Linked DNA regions of Canis lupus familiaris. The protein of the gene in region 7 purifies or fractionates together with the protein of the main gene of each other region. This does not show direct contact. Links are inferred from orthologs where the notes say so. Each region holds a gene or a part of one and is shown on either strand. Other genes may lie near its edges. The genes, in order: CDC27, ANAPC7, ANAPC1, ANAPC4, ANAPC2, CDC26 and ANAPC15.

Region 1 (4,473 bases), on a different chromosome or scaffold from region 7:
AACTGTTCACATCTATCTTTGATATCAACAAAGCCATTTTTTTGGTCATCTAACACAATTTTCCTAAATATAACACTTCAAGTCTAAGTTATTTGAAATATGGTACCCTTTGAATCCATGTTAGAATGCTGTCACTGTAGGGGTACCTAGGTCGCATAGTCATCAGGTGTCCAATGCTTGGTTTCAGGTCAGGTTGTGATCTGAGTCATGTCTCAGGGTCATGGGATCAAGCCCCACCTCACCCCCATAGCCCCATGTCCGGCTCCAAACTGTGTGTGGAACCTGCTTGGGATTTTCTCTCCCTCTCCCTCTGCTCTCCCCCCTCTCTCAAATAAATAAATAAATCTAAAAAAAAAAAAAAAAAAAAAAGATGCTGTCCCTGTATATCTTATTCCAAATCAAAAGTATTCCTTCGTTATCTAAATGATCTCTAAAATAGTATTATGTGTATAGTACCCACTTATTATACTGATTAAGGCAATTTTTACAAGCCTTGTTTACTACTTCATCTGACACTTCTGTGAAGTTCTACCCCCAGGAATAATTGATAAGTCCATTAATGTCTTTTTTTTTACATCAATTTCATCAGGTGAGTTTTATAAATATCCAAATTAACACTAATTGAAGTCATTTAGGCTAGTGTCTTCCCCAAACAATTATATTAAAAATAATTGACAGAATTTCTGCCTCCTAATAGAAGAGATGTATGTAAAGACTCCTATATAAAGTAATGCTTTTCTATGAGAGACAATTTGGAGAAGGAGCTAATATTTAAGCTTATGTGGTTTATGAGATTGGCTATTCCACAGTAAAACTTTAAAGAAAAAAAACTGCAGAAAACAGTTGCTTATCTTTCCTCTCAACTTTTTCCTATGCCTAGTAATATCATGATTCCTTCAACAATTTTCCAACTTACTCTTCCTTTACAAGTACAATTACTTAGCATAGTTTTAAAAAACCACATAAACAGTATCTGTCCTATTTTTATTTTCTCCCTAATTCTTCCCATTTTCAGCCCTATCCCCAATCCGTCGATCTTTATCATCATAGCTAAAATGGCTTTTTTCTCCCACTGCTCCAGATCCTTTCTTGAGTGGATTCTTTTACTATAAATTACAACCAAAATTCTCACGTAGTCATATTGTAGTCATAGTCCCCAAATCTAATGGACAAAGGTAGTGGGGGGTGAGGGTGGGGACGACAAAATTGACTTTCAAGCCCTTGAAAATCCTGAAGTGCCTTACCACTAAGAGTACTTTAAGGAAAAAAGAGTAAACCTGATGGGTGGTACATCGAGGAAAAGAGTAAACCTGATGGGTACATCGAGGAAAGGAAAAGAGTAAACCTGATGGGTACATGGAGGAATAGGCTACATATTTCTTTTCTTCTCCATGTTTTTATACAAGTTGAAATTGTCATTAAATAGTGGTTATAGGCTAACAATGAAACTAGTTTATCATTTGAGAAGACTTCTGGGGCCAGAGAAGGCAAATGTATCATTAGTTAAGACAAAATTACAAGAATATGAAACAGAAATTAAACAACTTGAGTGATCTGCTTATCCATTTAAGAAGGTACAGATAACTTCTAATCCCACATTAGGCCTCAAAAAAATAATCTTAAAAGAGACTTCACCAGTAACATGAATTTCGATGGCAAGAAATAGCTCTGGAAGCATTGATACAACTTACAAACATAAATTTCCTGAGAGAGAATCCCACATTATATTAGTTCAAATACCAAGAGCGACTATATGTGAAGAGCTGTATGTAAAGAAGAAGCCAACTGGGAGAAATTTCTATTTCATCCTGTGAAAGAAAAATTAAGGAAATACGGAAGTGGTAATCTATTTAGAATATTTATCATTTGACATCACAGGCCTATTAAGGGTAATATGAAGTGATTTCTAAAATCGATTTGCCTTGTAACTTCAAAATAAAGAAAGCCCATAACTCAATGACAGCAGTTGGTAGAGGTCAACTCTTCTATTCAAACCAAAGATCCTATGGTGAGTGGAAAGTCTCCCAGACCTGGTCCATCAGGAAGGGACAAAAGATTCAGTTTCTTGAGATGGCGGGGGGGGGGGGGGGGGGCGGCGGATGACTTGGCACTGCATCACACTTCAAATCCAATAGGGTTTCTCCCATGCCAACAGAGCACTGTGCGTCAAAGCATACCCTGGTGTCGTAAGCACAGTGAAATGGATGTAAAAACCCTGCTCGGTCTTTCATTTTCCAAACGCCTTATCAACATGCACAACAAAACATTCCTGATCCCCATCACAGGTCACGGGGGAAACCCCCAGATTGGCCGTTGCCACCCCTTCCCCCCACCCCCAGAGGTGCTTGCCCCTCAGCACTGGGCCTTGGAGTTCTCTTCCCAGATCATTGTCCAAGGGGGGTGTAGGGGGGGTGGAATCCACTGAGCAAGAAACGCACAACGTGGGCTAGGACGTCTGTTGCCAAAACAGAAATGGATTAAAAATACCGATCCTATAGTCCCTCCACCCTCTCCCAGAGCACAAAAACAAAACCAAACAGCCCCTCCGCCAATTTGCCCCACCATTACGAAGGTGGCACAACCTCTGATCAGATGTGCTTCCCAATCATCCTTTGGGCGAGGGAGCACCTGGGGCGAGTCTCCGCCGCCCCCCCTCCCACCCCTCTCCTCGTCTCTCACTCGGGTCGGGGCCAGGCCCCTGCACTGACAGGAGGGGCTGGCCGGACGACGGACCGGCGGGGGAAGGAGACATTATCGCCGAACCGCGCTCACACCGCGGGGGGAAGCAACGCAGGACCTGAGCTAACACGGCTCGGGCTGCGGCCGAGGCCTCGGAGCCGACGAGCAGGCAGGCAGGACCCGGCAGCAGGGGAGGCGGGAGAAGCAGCCGGGCCTAGGCCGCACCAGGCCGCGGAGTGGCCATACGCGGCTTCCCGGCCGAGGCTGCGAGCCAAGCCTCAGCGAGCGACGTTATCATTACCTGGACGGGTTCCTGCAGCACCGTCATCCTTGAGGCTCAGGCCCACTTTCTGCAGTGCCTCAGGCCCCCCCCGTAGCGGCTCCGGCCCGGCCAGCCCCGGCTCATTTAAACTCACCAGCGACCGTTACCGGGGGATGGGGGAGGCCGAGCGATTGCCGAGTACCTCCGAGCGGGACACGGAAATGCCCGAAGTGGAGAGATCGGCGCGGGAGCCAGACGGAAAAGCCCGAAGGAGGCCGGAAATGCCCGAGGCCGATCGGCGGAGGAGGGGACCGTTGCCGGAAATTACCGAGAATGCCCGGATATTACCGACTCCGATCCAGAGCGCAGTTTTCTCCTCTCGGCCACGCCTTCACTCACGCACGCCACGCCCAGTCGGCCCCCCGAGGTTGGGCCACGCCCAATCGGCGACCCTGGGCGTGGCTTGCTGAAGCGGGCCGGGTGCGTTACGTGCCCCGACTACGGTCTCCGCTCGCCGCTCCCGCTCTCCGGATCAATTGGTGTGTGGTAGATTAAGCAGGAGGGTAAAGCACGAGAGTTTGGGGCTGACTTTAATCAAGAAGTGTTTTTTTGAGTTTAGTTCGTTCCTCATTCCAGAAGTACCTATATAGCACGGCTCAAAGAGAAATAGGAAATTTGGAAGGATTGCCGCCCGTCAAAGACTTGGTTTGGACCAGGGCTGTCCACACCGAAGACGTCACTACGATGTTACGTGATGCCCGTGATGAGTGACGTCAAAATTAAGAGGAGAGGGAACTAAATTGGGATTAAGATGAGGAAAGTTTCAGGGAAGGGAAAAGGGAGACAAACTGGATTCTGAAGGATGGGTAGAATTAGAAGAAAAGACTGGTAAGGGAAGGGACGCAGAAGTGAGATCAGTCCGGTTAGAGTTAAGGCATTAGCTGGAAATAATTACTTAGGTGACCAGATGATGGAAAATCTCAGAAGGCTGACAGAATTTTTTTTTCCTGATAAGGAAAAATTTCCTGATAATTTTTTTTTTCCTGTGGCATATTGGGAAATCCAGAGGCTTGATTCTAAATTTTACCTCTGGCACTAAGTTTTAAGTACCGAGGCAAGTCACATCTCTGAACATCTATTTCCTTAGTCTGAAAAAAAAAATGACTAAAAGAATTAAATGCATGGATGTATGTTGGTGTGTCTAACACACATAAGAGGCTCTCTCAGATTTCCTTCCCATTCCCCTTACCCACCCCCACCCCGCCGAAATGTGTGAGCCAGGGAACTATTACAATTTTGGGGTTTTTTGGTAGATGATGAAAACACGTTTAGAAAGTTAATTGTCCAATCAAGACATCTCAGTTGCTAGGTGAGGAACTCATGGTATATCCTGTTATGTAGGAATTTCCCTTTCTGGGTCTCTCGTTTTATGCAGATGAAATCAGGTTAAAATGGATTACTTCCCTTAGGTGATGTTGAACGAAGGGTTGGCTTGTTTTGTTTTGCTTTGTTTTGCTTTGTTTTGTTTTGCT
Region 2 (3,972 bases), on a different chromosome or scaffold from region 7:
CTCTTGCTGTGTGACAGATCACTCCTTTAAACTCACCCACAATGTCACAGACAAAACACTGTCTATTCCTCAAGCTTCAGATTTAGAAATTAGTTATATAAAAAGCACTCTGTCCCAAGAAGCCCTGGCACATCTGCAGGCCTCCCAGAGAGCTCACTCGATCCTCCCTGACTGGAGCAGGGGAGGACAGAGATATATGGAAGGTTGGTCAGGCTCAGTTTTTAAAAATGAATTCACTACTAGAAATATGGAGCAAGAGGTAGAGACCCCTGCTGCAATTACATGCGGAATCATTGTCCTCCCAGAGAGCGGGCTCCTCCGGTCCACGGAAGTGCTCAGAGCAGGGCAGGCCAGTGTGGCCACAGAGCTGCCGCCTGCCTCACTGCATGCCGAACCACTGCTCCTGGTCAGCCCACTGGGCCGCCTCACTGTCGCTGCCCTCCAGGTCCCCTTCTTCCCCACTCCCTTCCATGTCGTCCACATCCTCCTCCTGAGTGGCATCCGTGGGACTCTCCTCCTTCTCCATCTTCTGCATCCCCTCTAGAGACTTCTGGTCATTGGGGTCCAAACTAGGGGACAACAAAACAAAGGAGAGGCCTGAATCTCTGCCTTGCTTCTTGCTGGCTGATGCGTCATCTCCCTGGCACAGCAGTGAAATGACCACCCAGTCACAGAGAAACTGCTAATGCCTGGCCTCTCCAAACAACTCTGGTTCCACAGGCAGGATCGAGGGACTCCACCACTAGAAGTGAAAAAAGGTATCTTGTCCTAATTTTTAGCATTCTCAATTTGAGTTTTTCTCCACATATTTCTTATACATTTTCAAACTTATTACCCCAGCATTCTGCTAGAAGAAGATACTAGGTAACACAAATGAAAAACCAGCAAACAATCATTAATAGACAAATTCAAATGTAATTTAACAGCGTCGGATTTTTAAGCTACAAAGTTACAAAAAAATATTTTTCTGTGAGTGAAGTTGATTCATGTTTTTATGATATAATTAACCATATCAGCATTTCAGTAGTCAAGCAAAATTATCATGCTTACCATGGAACACATTTGTCAACTACTAGGTTAGACTCCAGGACCCAAAGCTACCCCTACCCAGGCATTCAAGTTTAGCACCTAAGAGTCCTAATACATGCCCCAAACCCCAAAGTTCAGAGGCTCAAGAACATTTAGCTTGGCTTCTAAGCAATTCTTCCTCCTGCCCCTGTAATTATTATCAAGGCCAGGAGGTGTCCAATCGCTAGCAAATTTAACCTCTAATGGGTCCTCTGTTCCTACTTACACAACTGCAGATTGATTCGTAAGCTCTTCTCTGAAACCCTCCATACGGCTCTCACCCACACCCAGGGCTCCCCACCCTTGGGACTCCCACTTTGCTTTCTAGAGACTGCTAGAAAGAACTGTATTTATTATTATGTGGCATCATCCAGTCTACATGCCTGAGACTGAGAGCTTTCGGAATCACAGCATACGCAGTGGTTACTGAGATGCCAGATGCTCAACTGCTGAATAAGTAAATGGATGCGAACAGACTCAATTAGAGACAGGCCTTCACCGTAACCTTCCAGACACACAGACAACCCTCAAAGAAATCACTTCTATATTAAACAGTAAGAATATCACTATTTATTTAGTATTTACTATGTACCAGGCACACCACTAAGAGCTTTACACGGAATAATAATTTAATCCTCATGGAATCATTCAATACCTATTAAGGTAGATATAGACATGGAAACTTGTAACTTGCCCGAGATAACAGGTGAAAGTAATATTCAAACTTCAGAGCTTAGGTTCTTTACTACAGTAGGTAGAAACATGGGAAAGTACTTACAATACTTTGATTTGAAAAAGCAGAATATAAAATATATACTACATATACCCTATAAAAATATGTTTATGTGTGGGCAAGACCAGGAATATGATCTACACAAATGAAAACAGATGATATAGTGATATGGGCTGGTTATGAGTGAAACAGTTTTTTAATGTTACTTATAATATACTTTATGAAATTTCTTTAAGATATGAGCTCACAAATAACTCTTCTAATCATTACTATAATTACTCTTTTCAATCATGGGCACAAACGTGTATGTTTCCAGAACTCCTGTTACACAGTTCCCTGCCTCGTCTTCCCCTCATTGACCTTCCCCCCCATGGGAGGCTAAGTGCCTACCTTAGTGCTATACTATATTGGTCCATTGCCTCCTGATACTCATTGACAGCTACAAGGAAATCTCCTAGGATCCGATGCAGGACACAGTCACTCTGATTAGCTAGTGCGTTCCTCAGCAAAGCAATTCCATCTTCATATTTCTGCTCTCTGCCTGCAAAGAAAAAGATCCTCATTTTCCTTCTTACACAACATTTTGAAAATACACTCCCATCCCAAATCATATACACAAAACCACAACACTCACAATCTAATAATCTCTTTGTAGATGTCCTTAAGAGAACAGTGGTATGGCAGGAAATAAGAATAAGCTCCTATGAATTCTTATTCCATTAAGAAATGTTCAGCTTGAGTGGTGTTTAGGTGGCTCAGATGGTTAAGCGTCTTCCTTCGCATTAGGTCATGATCCCAGTCTGGGATCAGGCCCCACATTGGGCTGCCTGCTCAGCAGGGAGCCTGCTTTTCCCTCTCCCTCTGCTTCTAATAAATACAATCTTTTTTTTTTTATTAAGATTTTATTTATTCATGAAAGACACACACACACACACACACACACACACACAGAGGCAGAGACACAGGCAGAGGAAGAAGCAGGCTCATTCAGGGAGCCCGACACATGGGACTCGATCCCAGGTCTCCAGGATCAGGCCCTGGGCTGAAGGCGGCGCTAAACCACTGAGCCACCCAGGCTGCCCATAATTACAATCTTAAAAAAACAAAAAAGAAAAGAAATGTGCAGCTTGAGTTCTGATTTTTTAAAATATACTCTTAACCTAAGTTCAAATAAAAAGCCAAAATGCATTTTATTTTCCAAACTAGCCCAAACCCAGGACTTCATCATGAATCAGGACTAAAAACACCAAAGCTAAAAGGAAAATCATAAGCAAATTCAGATGGACTGAAAAACAGTTCTAGCCGGCTAAAACTAGTTCTATTCAGGCCAAACTAGTACAGGACAACCAAAACAGATGAAAGTGAGCTAAACAGGTACGAACCAAGTATAGCTGGTTTGAACCACTCAAAGAGTAGTGCCAATCCAAGTCAGTCTAAGATAGCTACATTTGGTTGTGCTAAATATAAACCAATTCACATGGGCTCAAACCTACTGTAAAAGGCACACACATGCCTGGTTATCTATAACCAGCTAGGACGAGGAAATCCAAATGACACCAGGTTTAATACAATTAACAAAAAAGGGAAGTAAATAAGATACACTTACTAAGTAGTTCTGCTTTTTTCACCACAGCCTTAATGTAATCCGGCCTTTGGGTCAGGGCTTTATCTAATAAAGTTTTGGCTTTTTCCTGTGTCACTGGGTCTTCAAGACAAACAGTAGCTAAAAGGGTAAGGGTCTGTGCATTTGCTCCTAGAGTTTTGTAAACGTTGTTAGCCATTACCATTGCTTCACGAATACTGTTTGAAGCTAAGTAACATTCAATGAGACCTGAAAAAATAGAACAGAAAGTTCAACCACATTACCATTCTAAGCAATGCTTCCACCCGGACAGCCTTCCAAATTGCAAACCTTCAAAGCTTCAGAGAAAGGGCAGGCCAGGGGAAAACTGATATTAACTGGAGAGCATGTTGATGGAGTAAGAAATGCTCTTCCCCAGAGCACTTCAGGGACGTGAAAAAGGCTGCATGTGCTGCAAAGGCACCTTTAGTTAGCAAAGGAAACAAACATGCATAAGTAAAATGAAGCAAGTAGGCAGCTCAGGGTGGATGTTAGAGCAACAAAGATGACCCTAATCATTCCTTGAGATAGAGATATTAACAAAACAAAG
Region 3 (3,972 bases), on a different chromosome or scaffold from region 7:
TCTGTTTTGACTCTCCGGAGAGCCCACACAGAATGCAAACTTTGAACAGTGTCATAGGTCATTATAATGGAGGGCTCAGTGTTGAGAAAAACAATTTTCATTGCATGATCTACAACATATTGCACCCTTGATGAACCAAAAAGACCTTTAAAGATAAAACAGAAATGATCAGGTATTGAACAATGAACTTTGTAAAAACAGTTCTTTATGAAGTGACTTCCTGTAATTCCTAAAGAGAAATTCAGCCAATTAAGACACAAAATCCATTAACATAGAATCACCCTGAATTTTTAAATTTACTTTGGGCATCAACTTCCTCAAGATACGTAAAGATAAGATAAAAATACATTACCAGTTTCATTCTCACACACATGCAATTACATGTTAAAGATGTATGCTCACTCAATGTCCCATCGGCCACAGGCAGAAGGTCCGTGACCACCCAACAGCTGACCTGTAAACTGCAATCAACTATTCTGCCAAGTTTGACCTCTTGACTGTTTTCTTCTCTATGAAATCTGTCCTCTATAATAACTATTTAAACACAGCTGAACAGTACACCTTTTACTGAGCATACATGCAAAATAAGTTTTCCCTAGTGAGTTTAACTTTTACTTCTATAGTACCCTGAAATGATTTCTATCTATAACCTTATTTGACAGCTTCCTAAATGCTTCCCTCTGTTAAAATACTTTTTAATTTTCAATAATTATTTTATAAAATGAGAGGTATTTTATAAAGAAATGAATAAAAATCACTCGTAATTCAACCATCTCAAAATATCCACTATATTAGGGAGTATTCCTTGTAGTGTTTTTTTCCTACACATATACATACTTTTTATGCTTTTACAAAATTAGAATCACACTGTATTCAGTTTTATATTCTACTTAACATTATGAGTAAGTAATTCCTGAGATCATTATTATTCAAAAGCATGATCAATAATGGCTTCACACCATTCAGTCACAGGCTCTAATGTGTGTAATTAGATAGTCTGTAATCATTACCAATATGATATAGAATTATCAACAAACGTTTTTGTAAAAGGCCAGAGAATAAATAGCTTAGCTTTGTGAACCACATACTGACTGTTGCATAATGTTTTTTTCTACAATTCTTTAAAAAGATAAATACCATTCTTAGCTCATAAGCCTTACAAAAACAAGCTGTTGGCTGGATTTAGCCCATGGGCTGCAGTTTGCCAAGCCCTGATACAGAAGATTAAAATCTTAGTGGAATTTCAGAATATGTGCTTAGGATAAAGTACTACAAGTGAAACCGGTAAAAAAAAAAAAAATAATATATATATATAGAAGTATTTTTTTCAGTTTCCAAGTCCTCATTATTTATAATTACCTATCATATTTGGCCACATTTAAATTTTTTAAGATAAGCATCTAGAAATACTCACAGGAAATACTAAAAGTTCTGCATCTCAGCAAATTAGTTTATTATGAACAGCAAAAATGATTAAACAGAAGTCTATGAACCTATACTTTTTTTCTCCAACAACAAAAAACAATTTTAGTTCATCTAAGTATTATTCATTTACTTATTAAGGAATTACTGAGGAACAGAGTCAAGAGTCATCTACAGATAGGTTAGCAAATCTATCAATATTCCTGATTGATTATAGGCCCTATTTTTAAGAAAAGAATAACTATTAAAACAGTTAATACTGTTTCAATAGTTGGTATTAAGTTCTTGCTTTAATATAAATTTTCATAATAAAAATGTTCAAACTACATTATTTCTATAAAACAAGCCAATTAAAAAAAAAAACAACTCTATTTTCAAAAAGCTCCTTCATTTCCTCCCATCTCCTAAACTCAAAAAAAAAAGAACGTATATGAAAGAATTTATAAAAATACACTTACTTCCAGATTTACAAACAAGTGGGGTTATTTCATCTAGTGGATGCAGCATGCTGAACATAGTGGGTAAAGGTTCTCTAGTAATAAACAAATAATCAGTGATCACCAACACAGAATCATTCCATTTGTACGCAAATTATGCACTTTTTTCCTGCAAAGAAATATCTTCTCCAGAATATACAAGCAACTAGAAACCTACCATCTCACAAAGCAAGCCTCTAAACGTTTTACAGTATCTTCTATTTCATTCCTGGAAATCGGTCTTCTTGTACATGGTAATTCCATGCATGCACACACACAAGGAAATCAATATAGCCCAGGAAATCTCTACAAACAGCAGTCATCACATTACAGAACCAACGGAGTAATAAGCATAAGGCAGTCTTCTTTTTTCTTTTTTTAAACCTCTCTTAGTGGCAGTGTGTCTTTGGCAGCTAAGAAACAAATTTAGTGTCCTACCTCCATTTACAAAGTGTCCCACCCCCAAAAAAGGAAGAAAAACTTCAAGTAAATAAAAAGGCTGCATTTTTTTAAGGAATGATTAAAAAGGAGAAAAAAATAGGTCTTCTACCTAAACACAGAAAGATTAAAATCTATAAGCAAATTTTTAAAACCAGTGTCTACTACTTGCAGCAGACTATGACAGGTACTGGTATGTTACTGCCCTTCAGTAAGCTCACAATTTATTAGGAAGACAAGGTAAACATGCCACCAATAAGCATCTACCATTTATTGTGCACCTGATATGTACTAAGTCCTACATCAAAGATTATGTGCATTAGCTCATTTAATCTTTGCATAAATCCAAGAAGTTAATGATAGTACTTTTGTAACAGATAAGGAAACTAAAGCTAAGAAAGCTGTAATGACTTGCCCATAATAACACAATGAAACAATGACAGCTTTAATAACAGAGTCTTTTTTATCCTTCAGTATGTGCTTGTTTAATTTTACTATGGAAGGGAGAAGGGAAGCAGTAGATAATGAAATGCCAAAACAGAAATAGAGCTCATAAGTATACAATATTGAGATAAGAGAAAATGGCATTTAACTACGCCGTTAGCATGGAAATTATCATCACCTTGAACTTTTTTTTTTAAGATTTTTATTTATTCATGAGAGACATAGAGCAGCAGAGACATAAGCAGAGGGAATAGCAGGCTCCCCGCAGGGAGCCCACTGCAGATCTCCATCCCAGGACCCTGGGATCACGACCTGAGCCAAAGGCAGACCCTCAACCACTAAGCTGCCCAGATGCCCCCATCATCCTGAACTTTTAGGTAATTTTACCTCAAAACCAACACCAAAAAAAGCCCAAATAATATACTGAACTGAGTAAAACGAATACCTGGGTGGACCTGGAGGTACCTCATGTGTAGAACTGCTTCGTTCAAACAATAATCCATATTTGGTGGGCCAAACATTTGCAACCTATCAGGTAAAGGACAAGAAAAAACAGAAGTAAAAGAAATTACTCTATATAATATGTGCTTAGGAAACTATAAAACATTAGATTTTGTTCCAATGTAATAGCTTTACAAAACAATGTGATCATTAACTATATTTTTTTAAAGTTCAAGACAAAATCAAACCTAAGAAAGAATTCAATCAGAAATTCCTGCCACTGGCTAGTAACAGTACCAAAATGACAATGTGATAAAATTTTAATATAACACTAGGTATAAAAAAGATGGTGAGAAACAGGAAAAAGACTAATTTTGGTCTTGTGCTTTAATATTACAATCTTTTTATTTTTTATAAAAAAAAATTCCATAATTCGCTTCATTAAAAAATTTATTTTTTATGCAAAGGATGGAAAAACAGTAAGAAGTAAAACTGTTAAAATTTGGTTACTTTATCTGAATAAAAATGACATTATTGATTACTACAAAGCATAAGGATAGCAAAAAAAAAAAGGATAGCAATACTTCTGCAACCAATTAATTCAAGAATATTATACAACTAAACACAAAAACAGTAAAACACTCGATTTACCTGAAAAGGTAAAGAAGCTATGTAATCTTTTCCTTCTACGCTATGCATGTTAATACATGAGCTTTGCAATATACATATGCATTTTTCTACTTCATTGCTA
Region 4 (3,972 bases), on a different chromosome or scaffold from region 7:
CTATTACAATGCCATAGAATTATATCTCAGTAAAGTGGTTATTTAAAAAAATATACATTACAAACTTCAAAGAAATAGTGAATCACTTTATTATAGCACCAAATGCAATCCTAGATATTGTGTTTTCACAGAACTTTAAGATGAAGAGCAACTATTATGGGGAATCAGGAAGTCAAGAGTACCTGATGCTCTGAATATAACAATGAATATTGAAAGCATCATACACAGTGCATCTTGCATCTTTTTGGTCTACTTGTTTGAGAATTCATGCATCTTTAGGCTATGTGGTTATTTGGCATCAAAATTAGGGAAGGGGTGACTAGCTGACTCAGTCGGTGGAGTGTGTGACTCTTAATCTTAGGATTGTGAGTTTGAGCCCTGTGTTGGGTGTAGAGATTACTTAAAAATAAAATCTTAAAAAAAGAAAGAAAGAAATCTAAGGAATATTTTCTTAAAGGCAAGGCTATAATCTAAATACTCTACAGGAGATCACATGGTCTCCACAATCTACAATACAAACAGCATACAGTACAAAAGATTTTTCCCAAAATTAAGTGATCATCTTACACAAGAGGCAATGTGTTGGTTAAGAGAACTGACTCTGGAGCCATACTGCCCAGTATCACTTACCAAATGAGTGATACCGAGCAAGTTGTGCAGTATCTACTTATCTATAAAATGGGGATAATAATAGGACCTATTAGGTTGCTGTGAAGATTCAAATGAATTATTACTGAATCATTCAGTACTTGGTACATATTAAATAATTAAGAAATCTTAGCTTTTATTATTATTTGGATCAGACTCCTAAGAATATATCTGGTATAGGGATGCCTGGGTGGCTCGGTCAGTTAAGCATCCAACTTGGTTTCAGCTCAGGTCACAATCTTATGGGTGGTGAGATCCAGCCCTGTGATGGGCTCTGTTGTCAGCACAGAGTCTGCTTGTGACACTCTCCCTCTCCCTTTGCTCCTCCTCCTGCTCACACTCTCTCTCAAATAAACCTTAAAAGCACACACACACACACACACACACACACACACATTTGGTAAAAGGTAAACTGTACAGCAACCAATTAACATGGTCATTAATAAACTATTAAAATACTGTTTTTATAAAAATACACTGGGCCCTGGGAATAATAAAGTGTTCACTAGAGTAAGATTCTATATTTGAGATTTAGAAGCTCCAAGTTAGTTCTTCTTCTTTTTTTGCTTTAGTGACCATTAGAACCCAAAGATAAGGATAATAAAAACCTATAAAACCTTAAAAAAAAATATATTTACTCTCTGCTACTACAAGATTTCCACACTCACCTGAAAGTATGAGACCTCTGAAGCACCACCAGCGGAAACTTCTGTGACCACTGATAATGATTTCAAATCACTGGATAAACATAATGCAAGACAAGTACCAACAATCTGTAAAAGAGTCAAATTCCCCAGTCTACTTAATATTATTGCTAGACTGCAGCTGCTTACCATACAGAAACAAAAATTCACAGAATCCTACAAAGCAGAAACACTCATGCCTGACGCCTTCCATGTGTATGTAGGAGATGCAAGGTGTGTATCCACCCAGTCCACATGGAGAAAGACAGACACAGACATAAACACACACACACAGACCCCTCCATCAAGGGTCCCAAATCAGATGCTGGAGAGCCTACAGTATATTTCGTCCCCCTCAGGAATGGCAAGAGTAGGATGGAAAAGATGAGGAGAAGACCAAGACTTAGGAACAGTGACAGACCTGGTACTAAGTATAAGATCGCTTCTCATGATGTTCATCACATTCCCATCAAAACTGTAGCTCTCACCCTGACTACAGGCTAGAAAAACATTACATCATAATCAAGTGTATTGTATCAATCTTTTTGTTAAGAAAAACTTGGCTCAGCAGTTGAGCATCTGCCTTCGGCCCTTCGGCCCAAGGCGTGATCCTGGGGTCCCGGGATCGAGTCCCACATCAGGCTCCCTGCATGGGGCCTGTTTCTCCCTCTGCCTGTGTCTTTGCCTTTCTCTGTGTGTCTTTCATGAATAAATAAAATCTTAACAACAACAACAAAAAAGAATAGAAAAACTTGACTAATTCCACTAATAGCACAGATACCGTATGACGGCTATTTTATCTTCATAAGAAAATTAGCCTCTTAACATTTATAAATGAATAATTCTAATAACTGAAACAAGAAAAAAAAAAACCCAATGTTGTATTCTTTTTTCATAAATCAGGTAGTACATTCTAAGAGAAATGATATGGAAAATTTTAAAGGAAAACTTACCCCTGTGACTCGAGCAATTTTGAACATTCCATATGCATAAAGCTCGATAAATCCAGAACTTCCTCCAAGGACAAGAATATTAAGCCTAATTAAAAGTAATGTAACAAGCTGAGGACAACAGAGAAGATTGAGTTCTTAAACCAAGATATAAACTGTTCTTGCTCTCAGATAATCTGCATGCTAAGGCTCCCCTGTGGGGAAATTGAAACACCACACAAATTCACCAGTTCTCAATATCCAATCATAGAGGGCTTATTCTTTTTCTCAAAGGGACATAAATTTGCTCTAGCTTAAAAAACATCAGTTTATAGTAAAACAAGGCCACAGTATTTTAATGAGTGTATTTTTTTTTAACAACGACTGTATTTATACACTCTCGATAACACGATCCTTTTCCCAGTTAATACAAAGTGCCGTCAGTTGTATCATGGCTCTGATACTAAATGTTCTACAAGGGCTTAAAAAAACTTAGAATATTTAAATTTAAATTTTAGAAACTCTAATAACTTCTATCCTCTTTTACTTTTTATTAAAATAAACAAAGGTGCAGTATAGTATTATTGAACTTGACACAAAGACCATACGATAAAAGCAAGTATGTAACAGAGGCTAATGTCTGTATATTATTCTGAGGTGTTTGTAAGCAGAAAAATAAAAGGATGCACATAAAGTAACTGCCCTTGAAACTCCAAACTGCCCTTGAAACTCTGTCACAAGTATCAAACATCACCTTAAAGAAGTTAGACTTGTTATTTAAGATATTTGCAAGATTTACCTGACGTCTCCCAAAAGCTTAATAATTTCATCAGAATTTTCTTCACTAAAATATAAAAAGAATTGTGTTACCTTTCAACTACATCTTTCAATTAATAAAAGATTATTTTACTTGAAAACAGAAAAGGTATACTTGCCTAAAAATTTTTGAGGTGTTGCTGTAACTGGAGAAAAACAGAGACTAGTGTAAAAAGCAATAGAAATATATTTTTTAAAACACATGAGAAAATTATCAGTGTTCAAGGTAAAGGAAAGAGAAATCTACAAGACAGATTCTAATGAAATTAAACTCTGATACTTACTTTTTTGGCAGTGTGGGTAATTTAGGTAAGAGAAGATTTGATTCATCCTCAGCATTATAAAAAGATGTTAGAACACTGAGAAGAAAAGCAAAGAAGAGCCATTACAAAAGTACCAAAGATTTTACTTGTTTTCCCATTAAAAAATACTTTTATAAAAAATTGCCCAGTTTTAGACATTATATATATTACCAAGTAAACAAATATCACACGTATTTTAAAATGGTAAAGCTCTTCTAAGCATTGATACATTCACATGACTATTTGCAACTGTTGTATCTATGAATTTCAAACACTGAGCTAGATCCTTATTATTCAATTTTTTATCAACCCCCTTAGTTAATTTGAAATTAACTTAAAACTTAATTAGAAAAGAAAAATTACTGTTAAGAAAATTATCACATTTCCACATTTATTTTCAGTATTAGCTAAAGCCACTCATCCTTTAGGCCATCTTGAGTGCAAACCTGGTATATGACTTGAATGCAGAGTAAGGGAAACTTATTTTCATGAAACCAGGAAGGTGTCAGGACCACAGACACAGAAAGAACTCATTCAGCATCAAAACAGAGTACTCAGGGGCACCTGAGTTAAGTGGCTGCCTTTGGCTTAGGT
Region 5 (4,684 bases), on a different chromosome or scaffold from region 7:
GCCCCAGACCATGCTCCAACCACATGGGTGCCAAGACCCTCACTGGGACACCCCAAACCTTGGCACAGCCTCCAGCAAAGTGACTCTGCACAGACTGTGCTGAGCATGGCACGGGGGGTCTCTTGCTGTCAGTAGGGCCAGCCTCCACTCAGCACCAAGACAGCTTCCACCACCCTCCAGGTCTTGGTTCACCCATCTCCATACACTCTCGCCGCTTCTAAAACCAGGGGGTGAGACACCTGGGTGGCTCAGTGGTTGAGTGTCTGCCTTCAGCCCAGGGCATGATCCTGCAGTCCCGGGATCGAGTCCCACATCAGGGTCCCTGCATGGAGCCTGCTTCTCCCTCTGCCTGTGTCTCTGCCTATCTCTCTCTGTGTCTCTCATGATAAATGAATAAAATCCTTAAAAAAAATAAAAAATAAAAAAATAAAACCAGGGGTCAGGTTTGCTAGAAACCTATTCTACAGTCCGCAGGGGATAGGGCCTAAGAGGCTGTCCTTACCTTGTGGAACTCACGCAGGAAGGAGCGCTCATACTCGCCCCGGCAGCGGTCCTCCATCCTCTCCCTGGTCACCTGGTGCAGGGTGGTGGTCACAGCCTCGGCACTGACCCGCTCCAACAGACTGAGCCTGTGTCTGGAGGAGAGCCCTGCCCGTGGAGCACATAAAACATAATCCTTTCCCCCACCTCCCATGCCCTCTATAACAAAGGCTTCAAATAAGCTGCTGGGAGGACACAGCCCTGCCCTCCCCAGCTGACTTCCCTGACTGGGCTGACACCCTGGCCTTCCCTGTGTGTGTGGTGGGTGTGGCTCTCAGGGCCAAAGCCTCATCTCCCAAATGTGACTCTGAAACAATAGCTAAACACATCCCTGTCCTGGTCACATGTATAGAAGTCCTCAGTTATGCCTTTTGGTGCAAACCCTGGTCAGCAATGGCAAAGGGAGTCAAGAGGCGAGGAGAAAGCATGTTTCTGTGTCTGAGATGAACCCAGTGAAAGCCATTCAGGGCTCCCTGACCCCTGCCAGCAACAGGACCACTCCCTAACAGCTGCACTGCTGTTGCTTCACTCAATGAGACAAAATTGTTATAAGCAACCACAAAGGACAAAAGGTCAACAGGTCAGAACCTGGCTTTAATAACAACAAAACCCTTTCCTCTTTAAAGACTGGAAAGGGCAGCCCTGGTGGCTCAGCGGTTTAGTGCCGTCCTCAGCCCAGGGCCTGATCCTGGAGACCTGGGATCGAGTCCCACGTCAGGCTCCCTTCATGGAGCCTGCTTCTCCCTCTGCTTCTCTCTCTCTCTGTATCTCTCATGAACTAATAAAAAAAAAAAAAAAAAAAAAAAACTGGAAAGACAATCTGCTTGCCAGCATGTTGGCCTAATCCCCAGCTCGTCCTGGAAAGCATAAAAAAAAAATCTCTCTTTTTTTTTTTTTTGCAATTATAGGAGAGGATAACTATCTTCCCTTCCCTGGAGAGCCTACAGAAGACACAGCAGACTTGTATGTGACCGGAAATCTGGAATCACATAGGGTCTTGGTGTGCACGCAGTGTGAAACCTGAGATTAGCGTGAGTGGCAGAGATACTTGTTCTTTTTATCCAGGACAAAGAGTATAAATTCACAGCACAGGGACCCTGGGGACTGTCCCTTTGTAATGTCCAGGACTGTCAGGGCAGAGATGCCCCCCTCCCCAGAGCCAGCTCACCAGCTTTCTGAAGAGGCCGCTGGACCCAGGAAAGTAATCTAGAGTCAAGAAGAACAGGGAAATGGCCACAGCCACAAGTACTCACAGGACCTGGCTGAGCTGGTGAAACTGCTCCAGGGCCTGGCGGCACCAGCATTGCTGTTTGTCACTGCCACACCCCGCACACAGGGGGCTCTGCAGAAGTCTGTAGTACCGCCGGCGGGCGTACCTGCTGTCCAACTCCCCCTCTAGTTCCGGGTCTGTGCCCCCTTCCCCCTTCCTCTTACTCTGCATGTAGACTCTCAAAAACCGCCCGTAGAGGCGCTGAATCATCTCCTGAAACATTCTGGGAGTGGAAAAGAACAGGACGCCCCGCAAGGTGGTATGGACTTTCTCCCGAAGCCCCTGAGCGCCTGCGCCCATCAGCAAGCCCAGGCGAGTCCACTTCTCCAGCAGCTCCAGGCTACGCAGGTAGGGGTCCAGGCGACTCTCCAGCAGGCCGAAGGCGTCAAGGAGCAGCAGAAGGCACTGGGGCTCGTCCGCACAGTTCTCACGCTGGGAGATGGTATTCCAGAACTCGAGCGAGATGTGGGCCTGCAGGTCGTTCTGCAGCACCTCCACAAACCACTCCTCCAGCACCGAGTGCAAGCCGTGGCCCCTCAACACCTCCACCGCCGCCCGGAGCTCCTCCTCCTTCGGCGGCACCGCACCGCTGGTGCGGGAGGACGCCTGCGGTGCAGAAAACCGTGAGAAGGGAACGCGGAGGGACGCGGAAAGCGCGGGGACGGACGGGGAGCAGTGGGGAAGGGACGCAGCGGAGGGGAGGCTGCGGCCGACGCCAGGTAGGAGCTGTCCGGGAGCACAACGCCCACCCGGCGGACGTCCCAGGGACCCCGCGCGGGCCCGCTGCCCTCTCCCGGGGCCTCACCAGTCCGAGCGCGGCCGGCGGCACTAGCCCGGTGCTCACGGTGTTCCAGGCCAGCAACAGCTCCTGTGCGGGCCCGGGGTCGCCGTCGCGCCCCGCCGCCGCCATCTGCGCGGCCCCCTCCAGGTCCCCCGAGCTCCGGGTGCGGCGCGCGGCGATGACGCACACGAGCGGCGCGCAGCGGTGACGTTTCGGAGGGCGCGCCGTCGGACGCACCGCGCAGGCGGGAGCGGCGATGCAGTAGCGGCGGTTGGGGTGGTCGCGGCCTGGGCGGTCACCATGACCCAGCAGGGCGCAGCGCTGCAGAATTATAACAACGAACTGGTCAAGTGTGAGCGGCCTCGCGGCGGGGTCCGCCTGGTGGGCTGGGAGGGCGCGGGGCTCGCCGGCCTGCGGGTCCAGGCGGTGGCGGGCCTGCCGCGCGTGGCCCAACGGGCTGCACCGTCCGTGCGTGGGGCCTCGGCCGGGACGGCGCCGGGGGCCTTGCGGGCGAGCCAGGGGGACAGCCGCTGTGCCGCTCGCCCGGGCGCCGGGTATCTGCGCAGTGAGGGACAGAGCGGAAGGGGAGAGCGTGCACCGCCTCCCGCCCCCCGCACGGTCCAGGGTGCGAGGGGTGCGCACCGTCCAGTGCACCGGGCACGCTCCAGAGTGGGAGGGGTGCTGTGCTCCCTCCTGCCCTGGGTCCACAGCGTGTGCCCTCCCGCTCGCCCATCCCAGGCATCGAGGAGTTGTGCCAGAAGCGGGAGGAGTTGTGCCGGCAGATCCAGCAGGAGGAAGACGAGAAGCAGCGGCTGCAGAATGAAGTGAGGCAGCTGACCGAGAAACTGGCTCGCGTCAACGAGAACCTGGCCCGCAAGATTGCCTCTAGAAACGAGTTTGACCGGACCATCGCGGAGACAGAAGCCGCCTACCTCAAGGTGGGGCTGGGGCCCCGGGGGAGTCTAGGGCCGGCCAAACGCAGGGGCGACAGGATCCCGGTTAGGTGTCAGTGAGGCTGTCGGGGGCCTGGCAGGTCAGGAGTCCTGTTTTCTGCACCATTGTCCTCCCAGACCATGAGCAAAGAGCGGCCCCGGGCTCAGCTAACCTAGACTGGCTTCCCTGGGGTGCGAGGAAGGGGCTTTGGGCTAGTCTTAGGGGGAACGGGCCCTGCTGACCCTGTCTGACCTGCCCTTCAGGGGCTTCATTGCACTGCTGCCCCACAGCTCAGTGCTGGCGAGGAGTGGTGGTGACCATCCTACGTCTGTTTCCAGATCCTGGAGAGCTCGCAGACTCTGCTTAGTGTCCTGAAGAGGGAAGCTGGGAACTTGACCAAGGCCACAGCCTCAGAGCAGAAGAGCAGCGGAGCTAAGGACAGCTGATGGGGCCGTTCTGGGGAGGGGCCTGCCTCTACTGTGCCCGGCAGTGGCTGGGCCTCCGACTATCCTCAGCGTCTTTACTCTTTTTGGCACCAGCTGCCCCCTTTCAGTGTCTCAGGTACCAAGAGGCTGTTGCCAAGCTCCACCTGCCCCAGGTGACAAGGAAACCTCTGGGCACGTCCCGGCCTTGTACTCATGCAGGACTTGGGGAGTGCAGGCTCTGGGTCAGTTCTGTTCAGGGCCTGAGGTCGCCACCACCCCCCATCCCGGTGCTGCCAGAAAGGCCCTGCTCCCTTGTCTCCACACCATGAGAGTGGCCTCACCTTGCTGCCCCAGCCAGGGAAGTGGGCAAAGGGCAGGGGCCCTGCACCTCAGAGCTTGTCCTGGTGGCATGTGACTGTCAATAAAGCTTAGGTTTGTAAAGATGCCCTGTGGCCTGTGCCTGGAGTGCAGAACTGCTGGACACCTCCGGAATGAATGAATATGAGCCCCTGCCCAGCTGGGTATGGTTCATCCTTGGATGAGGGAAGCCTGGACTGGCTTTCCCTGTGCTTTTGAAAAGAGTTGAAGGTATCCTTGAGCATCTCCCGAGACCTTGTCCCCCACCCTTTCTCCCCACCAGGGCTGCTGGCCTCTGGTCCCCAACTGCACTTAACCTACTGCCCTGGAGGTATTCTGCCCATAGCTCCCAGTCCGTGCTGTTCCCTATTACCCAGC
Region 6 (3,453 bases), on a different chromosome or scaffold from region 7:
TAAAGACAACAGGATATAATTTTTTTTTCTTTTTGAGGGTGCCCGTGTGGCTCAGTTGGTTGAGCATCTGCCTTCAGCTCAGGTCATGATACTGGGGTCCTGGGATTGAGCTCCGCATTGGGGAGCCTGCTTCTTCCTCTCCCTCTGTTCCCTCCCTCTATGGATGTTCTTGCCCACTCTACTCTCAAATAAATAAATCTTTAAAAAACAACAACTTTTTTTTTTAAAGTAATCTCTACACCCAACATGGAGCTTGAACTCATGACCCTGAGATCTTGAGTCGCATGCTCCTCTGACTGAGCCAGCGAGGTGCCCTGGACAGGACTCTAAATTACCCTCTCAGATTGGCTGCGTGTGAAAAATTCTTAGGGCAAGTTGGAAAAGGAAGGAAAATTGGAATGATGGTAATTCTGTTAGGAGCATTCCAATTATTGTTTTCCCTCCACTCTCTGTCCCCCCAAAATTACACTCAGACTAGCTACAAAGCCATCCTGTAAATAGATTCTGGAAACCCATAGCTTGATCACATTTACACAAAATCACTAGAATCTAATCTCCACAAAGGCAGGGATCTTTGATTTTGTTCACTGATGTTACTAACCACCTAGAGTAGTACCTGCCACATTACAGGCACTCAACTAATACTTGCTGAATAGTTGAGCTGAATGAAAGTCAGTGACAGGGATCAACTGGAAGTGTTCTATGCTTCAAGTCTCTCAATAAAGGTTTAAAAGAATGATGTTACTTCTTGTAGCAATTACCTTTTAAAATCTGGGGGTCAACAGTGCTATTATTATAATTTATTAAGGGTGTCACACACTTTTCCAAAAATATATTTATTTTTAAAAACAAAAATCAGACAAGTTTTATACAGTCAAATTTTTCAGAGACAAATGAGGGGATTTCCACTCAGAGCAAAAGTTAAGCATCAGTAATCTCATGCAGAAATATTTCTCTGCAGGAGGTAAAACATTCTGCTTCACTGCAAGCACTCAATTCTCTAAATCTTGTTTGTACTTCTGCCATCATTTTACTCCATCCCAGGGTTCTGGCATGCAAGATAATCTGCCTCTAAAATTCGAAACTTCCAAATTGAGATGAACGATTATTGGGCTTGGGTTGGGGTTTATAACCAATTCGATCATTAATCATTTGTTCCCGGCTCTTGGGGTCACTGCTGAGCCCAATGGCACCTTCTCCATCACTGATTCCTACGACATCCACTTCTTCCTTTTGCTTCTTACGGGTCTGAAAGTATAAAAGTCTTAGGATTAAGGCAATGTTCTTTCCATTAGCAAACAATTATTTGGCACCTACCATGCACTAGGCATAGGGTAAAAGCTGGGATTAGGGCCTTCAGAACAGTAAGCTGAAATCCTAAATTGAAATAAAATCCTAGGTTGAAATGGATAATAGCAGTACAAGGGGGATACAAGGACACAGTGAGAAAAGAGACAACCCCTACCCTCCCAGATGTCACAGCCTAACAGGGAAATAGGAAAATAGACAATGGCAACACAGAGTGATCATAGCTACGACACAGGAAAGTCCACACTGCCAAAGAAACTGAAAGAAGACGTGAGGAGTTGGGTATGTTGTGGCAAAGCTTCAGAGCAGGAAGCTGCGATTAGAAAGATAAATAATATATAAGATGGATGTTACCTGAACCTACTGTGGCCATCAGTTCACAATATATGTAAATCATACCATCGTGCGTTGTGCCTTAACTTAGTGTATGTCAGTTATTTCTCAACAAAACTAAAAAAAAGTAAGTTGGCAGACAAGGGGGAAAGAAAAGCATTTTTTTTTCTTTTTAAGATTTATTTTTAAGTAATCTCTACACCCAACACGGTGCTTAAACCTACAACCTCAAGATCAAAAGTTACAAGCTCTACCAATTGTACCAGCCAGGCACCCCAAGAAGGGTGTTTCTCATTGACAACTATGAGATTAAATGTAAAAACAGGAATATAAGGTTTTATACTATCTTATCAAAAGGACTGAGTTTTGAGGTTTTGTTTTCAGGTTTGGCTCTTGGGGTGCCTGGATGGCTCAATTGGTTGAACATCCACCTCTTGATTTCAGCTCAGGTCATGATCTCAGAGTCATGAGATCAAATCCTGTGTCACACTCCACGCTCAAGCAGGGAGTCTGAGCTCTCTCTCTCTCTGCTCCTCCCTGCACTCTCACACTCATGCGTGTATTCTCTCTAAAATAAATAAATAAATCTTTTAAAAATTTTTAAAAAATAAAAGGTTTGGCTCTTGGGGCACCTGGGTGGCTGAGTCCGTTAACCATTTGACTCTTCGTTTTGGCTCAGGTCATGATCTCACGGTTGTGAGATCCAGCCCTATGTGGGGCTCTATGCTCAGCAGTCTGCTTGAGATTCTTTCTCTGCTCCTCCCTCTGCTCACGCATTCTCTCAAATAAAGAAATTAATTAAATCTTTTTTTTTTTAAAGGTTTGGCTCTTAAATTACAAGTGATTGCAGAATTCACCAAGTCAATATCTCAGTTTGGTCATTCTCCTTTTTTTTTTTTTAAGATTTCTTGAGTATTTTTTTTTAAGATTTTATTCATTTATTAATGAGACAGAGAGAGAGAGAGAGAGAGTGTGTCAGAGACACAGGCAGAAGGAGAAGCAGGCCCCATGCAGGGAGCTCGACGTGGGACTCGATCAGGTCTCCAGGATCAGGCCCTGGGCTGAAGGCGGCACTAAACCACTGAGCCACTGGGGCTGCCCTCTTTTTTTCAAGATTTTATTTTTAAATAATGTCCTCATCCAACGTGGGGCTTGAACTCACAACTCCGAGATCAAGAGTCACACAATCCACCAACTGAGCCAGCCAGGTGCCCCTCAGTTTAATCATTTTCAGAAAGAGGTATTAACACTTATCCCATAACTACAACTATCTGACTATAAAGTTATTAAATAATAATGTTCTCTGAGAGAGTGAACAAATGTTTTATCCAGCATTCCTTACAAGGATGGCTCGACTACTCTAACCACTGGAAACGCTACCATTCTTCACCACTTACTAATGAACTCAGCATTGGAATGCCAATGTCACAGTATCATACTGAACCAAACAAGGCATTACTTTATATATATGTGTGTGTCTATGTATGTAAAATGACCTGAGTTACTCTCTAGTTAGTCTACACTACCAATAAGTAACATTATGACAGCTTAGTGAAAACAGGTTAAAAGGCAAAGGATATTATCATTTCATAAGCCATGAGAAACTGAGAATGTCCAAATGGAATGAAAAATAATTTAAAAGGCTTCCCACCATGAATAACTGCTGACTGTTTCAGAATCCAGAGTCATCAAAATATAATTAAACTAATTTCAGTAACAAATGAAATACCAGTTTCTACTGGTTTCATTTTATTTTAGTTTACGGCAAAACTGTCCCTCCCTAAGTTGCTCTGCAGCAGGTCAAACCCACTG
Region 7 (4,441 bases):
GATGTGAGACTTGATCCCAGGGAGCCTGATGTGGGAGCCTGATGTGAGACTTGATCCCAGGACCCTCCTGGGAGCAGATGCTCAACCACTGAGCCACCCAGGTGCCCCTCTCCTAGGTTATTTACTGCAATCCTGCAATCCCAATCTTAAAACTGTATTTTGTTTATCTTCTTTGTTGTTTATCTCTCCTATTAGAATGGAAGCTGCATGGAGATTGTTGGGGGGCATCTGTTTTGTTCCCTATTGTATACCCACTACTTAGACTAGTGACAGGCATATAGTAAGGCACTAAGTACGTACTTGTAGAATGAATGAATGAAAAAGGTGGACATTTCCAAGAGGCAAATTTTACTCTTCACTTTTAAGAAAGATTTTGTTTATTTATTCATGAGAGACACAGAAAGAGAGGCAGAGACACAGGCAGAGGGAGAAGCAGGCTCCATGCAGGGAGCCCGACGTGGGACTCGATCCTGGGACTCGATCCTAGGTCTCCAGGACCAGGTCCTGGGCTGAAGGCGGCGCCAAACCGCTGAGCCACCCGGGGCTGCCCCAAATTTTATTCTTTAATGAAAAGCTTCATGACTACCAGAACTGCTTGGAAACACAATCACGTTAACATACACAGTACACTACCACTTAAACATGTAGTCTCACCAAATCCTCACATCAGTCCAGGATAGGAGGAAGGATGCGCAGTTTATGAAGTTTATGGTTGAAGAGGAAACTGAATCCAGACCGGGGTGGAAAAAGGACTTGTTAAAGCTCACACATCTGGAGTGGTCAGGAGCAGAATCAGGGATGATTGCTAGCTCTAGAAGAGGCTGGTGGGTGATGGAGCTTAATGGGGGGGTTGGGTTCGAAGAACTGCCGTTTGACAGAAGGCATGATCTCTGAAGGGGAGGCTGACTCAGCGGTTACCAGAACAGACTCATCAACAAAGGACTGGGAGAGATGACGAGGCTGACCACTAAAGGTATTTAGACCAGTCCCGGAAAGGGCAACTGAATTCCCCAAAAGTGGTGTCCTGAGGCTGACTGGTCACTGAAACCCGTACATGAACTCAGATGCAGAGCTGGACAGGCAGTCGTAAGAAACCGCTGAGTCCACTGTGGGTCTGTGGAGCCTGGCTTCTCCCCTGGACTGTGAGGTCTACGGGGGCAGGGACCGTGATCTAGATTCATCCCCAGCTTCTAGCAGAGCCTGGAATACAGTAGGGACTCAACTATTTCTGCTGAAGTCATACATACATGCACCAACCAAGAAGCTGAGGGTGAGAAAAGACAGACAGAAGGGGCATAATATCGCCCCGCGATTTGGGGGTAGAAGCAAACGAATTTTCTTGGGACGCGCGGCAGGACAAAGAGTTCCAGTGCTAAAGCAGGTAGCTGCTGCCAGCTATTTTCCAGCAGGGCTTGGCAAGCAGATCCTGGCTAGGGACGAATGGGCGGGGTTCGATGGGGCCGTTGGCGGGGGGGCGGGCAGACAGGGGAAGCCGAAGGGCGGAGGCTCAAGGAGGGGCCAACGGAGTATGCAAATTTCCAACCTCAACTACGTGACTGAGGTGTGTAACGTCACATCCGGTGGGGTGGGCGGGAGCGGGAAACAAAAGGAGAGCAAAGGCGCATGCGTCGGTGGTTCCCGGGCTCTGGTGGGTTCTTCCGCTCGGGCAGAGAGAAGTGCTTCCGGGTCGCCGCCGGCTGCCGCCTCCTGGCGCGGTAAGTACGGAAGCCAGGCTGCGGCCTCTGTCTCCTTGCCCCTTCTCGTCTCCCTCTCCCGGAGGACCCCCGCGGTCCTGACCCGGCTTCTCAGGGGCTCCACGTTCCGACTCCTTTCCACATTAAAGAGCTCCAGTTCATTGGCCGCTTCCTCGAGGCTAAGCCCCACCCAGTCGCCCGAGATCCGTCCCTCATTGGTGTCCGTTTCTGTCACCCACCATTCCTCCCAGTTAATTGGCCCCATTCAGGCCCCGCTCCTTTCGCGATTAGCAGCCCTATAAGGGTAAATGCCTGCTCGAATCCCGCCCCTGCATTCTTCGTGTTGGTCCACCCCGCGGTCATTATCATAATGAGCAAAGAGTGGGCGGGGGCTTTGCGGCGAGGGGGGGGGCTTTCGGAGCCTCGGGCTCTGGCCTCTCCTACGACCGGCCGGGAGTGAGGATGGCTAGTTGTGCTGCTGACACGGCCCGGGAAGCTGAGGTTCACGGAAGGGCAGCGGCGGGCCCGGGATCGGCTAAATGAGTTTAGGGCAAAAGCAGAAGTAGACGTCGGTCTATTTCTCCTGCTCATCTCCTCTAGTGCCTGGCCTCGATTTCTTCCCCGCGGAATATGATGCCCCAGCTCACTTGTGACCTAGAGCCAGTCGTTGCCTGTCGCAGGGCCTCAATTTTCCTGTGAGCTGAAAGGTTTTAATTCAAATTCTCTGGGACCTTTCCGGTCCCCCTCAGCTGCTTTTAATCCGTGCCGAATTTACATTATCCATTCACGTTAGTTCATTCAGCTTTCCATTTACTTATTCATTCATTTACTCATGCCTTTAGAATGTCTTCCTGAACCCTGCTGCACCCCACCCCAGTTTAGCTGGTTCATGAGAGAGGTGGTTAGTGTCCTAAATTTCTGACACTGGGTAAGTATGGTATGGATCATCATAGAGGGGCAAAAAGTAGGTCTTAGTGTTTGGAGGAGGTAAGGATAGGACCAGAGGAGCCCTGCTGCCTCTGATTTTGTAATGCCAGTCTGCATTCTGGATTCATAGCTCTACATTTGGCTTCCATTCCCCTCCACGCCTCCCCTTGAACTACTTTACTTCTCCATAAAGTAAATTATCAGAATAAGTATGAGGGTGGTATAATTGTTATTATTCCCCCCATTTTACAGATGAGGAAACTGAGGCTCATAGAGGTTAAGTGACTTGGCCAAGGTCAAACAGCTAGTAAGTGGTGGAGCCAGGACTCAAACCCAGGTCTGTTTGATTCCCACAGAGAAGAGCTATTTCCCTGCTACCTTCTACTCCACCCCATCCCCAAATCAAACTATAACCAAATAAAACCCAAAACCAAACACATCTGACAGCTGGATTCACCTGGCCCTTTACCTCAGTCTAGGAGCCATGTCCACCTTGTTTCCCTCACTCTTCCCCCGTGTGACTGAGACATTGTGGTTTAATCTGGATCGACCCTGTGTGGAGGAGACAGAGCTGCAGCAGCAAGAACAACAGCATCAGGCCTGGGTGAGTAAGGACCTAGCACAGTGGTGGAGCCTCTTGGAGGAGCTTTTTGCCCTGAACTGGGAACAATCAAGCTGGGAGGCAGGAGGCCTAGATTCACATCTTTGTATTACCCTGACTTACTGTGGGCCCGTGAGACTTCTGAGCCAGATTGGAGGCCAAGGCTCTTTCCTCTGAAACATAAGAAATAATAATTTTGACTTTATTGAGGTCCTAGTAGGTGCCTTATTCTAGACTGATAGTCTCTCACTTTACCCTCACCATCATCTTAGGAGGCCACAGTTTCCTCCTAAGAGAGTTGACGTAGTTGGATCGAGTTTATAAGTAAGTGGCAGATGATAAGAGACAAAGAGATTGGCTCTTTCTGGCAACTGGAAGGAAGCTTCACCCTTGAGGGGACTTCTCAGGGGCAGAGTAGGCCAGTCTCATGTCCCTGACCTGTCCTGCTCAGGCTCTGACTCTGCTCTCCACCTGATTTGGCTACAGCTCCAGAGTATTGCAGAGAAAGACAACAACCTGGTACCTATTGGCAAGCCGGCCTCAGAGGTGAGTGGTTCCAGCAGGTAGGGCTTGTGTGGAGCCCAGGTGGACTAAAGCTCTGCTCTACTTCTGAAGGTCCTGCCTCTGACCTCAGAGCGGTTGTGGTGTTCAGCTCTGGATGGAGGCTATAAAGAGGGTGTAGAGTGGTGGCCATTGAACCCAGCACTAAGGTCCTATAGAACATGCATCAGCCTGCTAGACTCAAAGGAACAGAGAAAGGTTGGGGAATGGAGGGTCATGCACTGGCCCCAAAGACTGGCTCCAAGTGGACCTTGAGCTGGTCCAGGCACTCTTATAGGGCCTATAGTCTTTCCCCTGCCTCACCAGCACTATGATGATGAAGAAGAAGAGGATGAAGATGACGACGAGGATAGTGAAGAGGACTCAGAGGATGATGAGGATATGCAGGACATGGATGAGATGAATGACTACAATGAGTCACCAGATGATGGAGAGGTCAATGAGGTAGGTAGAGGTGTGGGGGAGGGCCCCTGCCCCTGACCTAACTAATTGGTGGCCAAGAGGTACAGAGACTCTGGTGCCAGACGGGCAAGATCTGGGACTGGGGCTGGCTGGGTGGCTGAGGCCCCTCCCCACCCACACCCAGCCTTCTCTCCAGGTGGACATGGAAGGCAACGAACAGGATCAGGACCAGTGGATGATCTAGGTAGACAAGGCA

The links.
Region 1: the proteins of ANAPC15 (region 7) and CDC27 purify together in Homo sapiens (affinity purification with mass spectrometry; 3 studies listed by BioGRID and IntAct, with this or other methods). This does not show direct contact. The link is inferred for Canis lupus familiaris from reciprocal best matches to the Homo sapiens genes ANAPC15 and CDC27.
Region 2: the proteins of ANAPC15 (region 7) and ANAPC7 purify together in Homo sapiens (affinity purification with mass spectrometry; 3 studies listed by BioGRID and IntAct, with this or other methods). This does not show direct contact. The link is inferred for Canis lupus familiaris from reciprocal best matches to the Homo sapiens genes ANAPC15 and ANAPC7.
Region 3: the proteins of ANAPC15 (region 7) and ANAPC1 purify together in Homo sapiens (affinity purification with mass spectrometry; 3 studies listed by BioGRID and IntAct, with this or other methods). This does not show direct contact. The link is inferred for Canis lupus familiaris from reciprocal best matches to the Homo sapiens genes ANAPC15 and ANAPC1.
Region 4: the proteins of ANAPC15 (region 7) and ANAPC4 purify together in Homo sapiens (affinity purification with mass spectrometry; 10 studies listed by BioGRID and IntAct, with this or other methods). This does not show direct contact. The link is inferred for Canis lupus familiaris from reciprocal best matches to the Homo sapiens genes ANAPC15 and ANAPC4.
Region 5: the proteins of ANAPC15 (region 7) and ANAPC2 purify together in Homo sapiens (affinity purification with mass spectrometry; 4 studies listed by BioGRID and IntAct, with this or other methods). This does not show direct contact. The link is inferred for Canis lupus familiaris from reciprocal best matches to the Homo sapiens genes ANAPC15 and ANAPC2.
Region 6: the proteins of ANAPC15 (region 7) and CDC26 purify together in Homo sapiens (affinity purification with mass spectrometry; 3 studies listed by BioGRID and IntAct, with this or other methods). This does not show direct contact. The link is inferred for Canis lupus familiaris from reciprocal best matches to the Homo sapiens genes ANAPC15 and CDC26.

The regions. Positions count from the first base shown.
Region 1 is NC_049230.1:17,583,748-17,588,220, forward strand, and holds the start of CDC27 (cell division cycle protein 27 homolog), read right to left. Parts: upstream 3,169-4,473; 5' UTR 3,008-3,168; coding exon 2,981-3,007; intron 1-2,980. UniProt on the Homo sapiens protein: Component of the anaphase promoting complex/cyclosome (APC/C), a cell cycle-regulated E3 ubiquitin ligase that controls progression through mitosis and the G1 phase of the cell cycle.
Region 2 is NC_049247.1:8,457,022-8,460,993, forward strand, and holds part of ANAPC7 (anaphase-promoting complex subunit 7), read right to left. Parts: intron 3,633-3,972; coding exon 3,408-3,632; intron 2,343-3,407; coding exon 2,192-2,342; intron 570-2,191; coding exon 380-569; 3' UTR 1-379. UniProt on the Homo sapiens protein: Component of the anaphase promoting complex/cyclosome (APC/C), a cell cycle-regulated E3 ubiquitin ligase that controls progression through mitosis and the G1 phase of the cell cycle.
Region 3 is NC_049238.1:36,482,608-36,486,579, forward strand, and holds part of ANAPC1 (anaphase-promoting complex subunit 1), read right to left. Parts: coding exon 3,873-3,972; intron 3,309-3,872; coding exon 3,226-3,308; intron 1,955-3,225; coding exon 1,881-1,954; intron 146-1,880; coding exon 1-145. UniProt on the Homo sapiens protein: Component of the anaphase promoting complex/cyclosome (APC/C), a cell cycle-regulated E3 ubiquitin ligase that controls progression through mitosis and the G1 phase of the cell cycle.
Region 4 is NC_049224.1:85,502,767-85,506,738, forward strand, and holds part of ANAPC4 (anaphase-promoting complex subunit 4), read right to left. Parts: intron 3,436-3,972; coding exon 3,361-3,435; intron 3,223-3,360; coding exon 3,196-3,222; intron 3,105-3,195; coding exon 3,060-3,104; intron 2,370-3,059; coding exon 2,285-2,369; intron 1,422-2,284; coding exon 1,317-1,421; intron 1-1,316. UniProt on the Homo sapiens protein: Component of the anaphase promoting complex/cyclosome (APC/C), a cell cycle-regulated E3 ubiquitin ligase that controls progression through mitosis and the G1 phase of the cell cycle.
Region 5 is NC_049230.1:48,461,890-48,466,573, reverse strand, and holds the start of ANAPC2 (anaphase-promoting complex subunit 2), read right to left. Parts: upstream 2,892-4,684; 5' UTR 2,721-2,891; coding exon 2,616-2,720; intron 2,417-2,615; coding exon 1,794-2,416; intron 636-1,793; coding exon 503-635; intron 1-502. Other genes in the region: SSNA1 (Sjoegren syndrome nuclear autoantigen 1), read left to right, coding at 2,892-2,943, 3,330-3,529, 3,863-3,970. UniProt on the Homo sapiens protein: Together with the RING-H2 protein ANAPC11, constitutes the catalytic component of the anaphase promoting complex/cyclosome (APC/C), a cell cycle-regulated E3 ubiquitin ligase that controls progression through mitosis and the G1 phase of the cell cycle.
Region 6 is NC_049232.1:68,042,409-68,045,861, forward strand, and holds the end of CDC26 (anaphase-promoting complex subunit CDC26), read right to left. Parts: intron 1,249-3,453; coding exon 1,072-1,248; 3' UTR 821-1,071; downstream 1-820. UniProt on the Homo sapiens protein: Component of the anaphase promoting complex/cyclosome (APC/C), a cell cycle-regulated E3 ubiquitin ligase that controls progression through mitosis and the G1 phase of the cell cycle.
Region 7 is NC_049242.1:26,088,705-26,093,145, forward strand, and holds the start of ANAPC15 (anaphase-promoting complex subunit 15), read left to right. Parts: upstream 1-1,566; 5' UTR 1,567-1,623; coding exon 1,624-1,715; intron 1,716-1,735; exon of another isoform or gene 1,736-2,324; coding exon of another isoform or gene 2,325-2,389; intron 2,390-2,833; exon of another isoform or gene 2,834-3,095; coding exon 3,096-3,225; exon of another isoform or gene 3,226-3,708; coding exon 3,709-3,768; exon of another isoform or gene 3,769-4,089; coding exon 4,090-4,227; exon of another isoform or gene 4,228-4,369; coding exon 4,370-4,429; 3' UTR 4,430-4,441. UniProt on the Homo sapiens protein: Component of the anaphase promoting complex/cyclosome (APC/C), a cell cycle-regulated E3 ubiquitin ligase that controls progression through mitosis and the G1 phase of the cell cycle.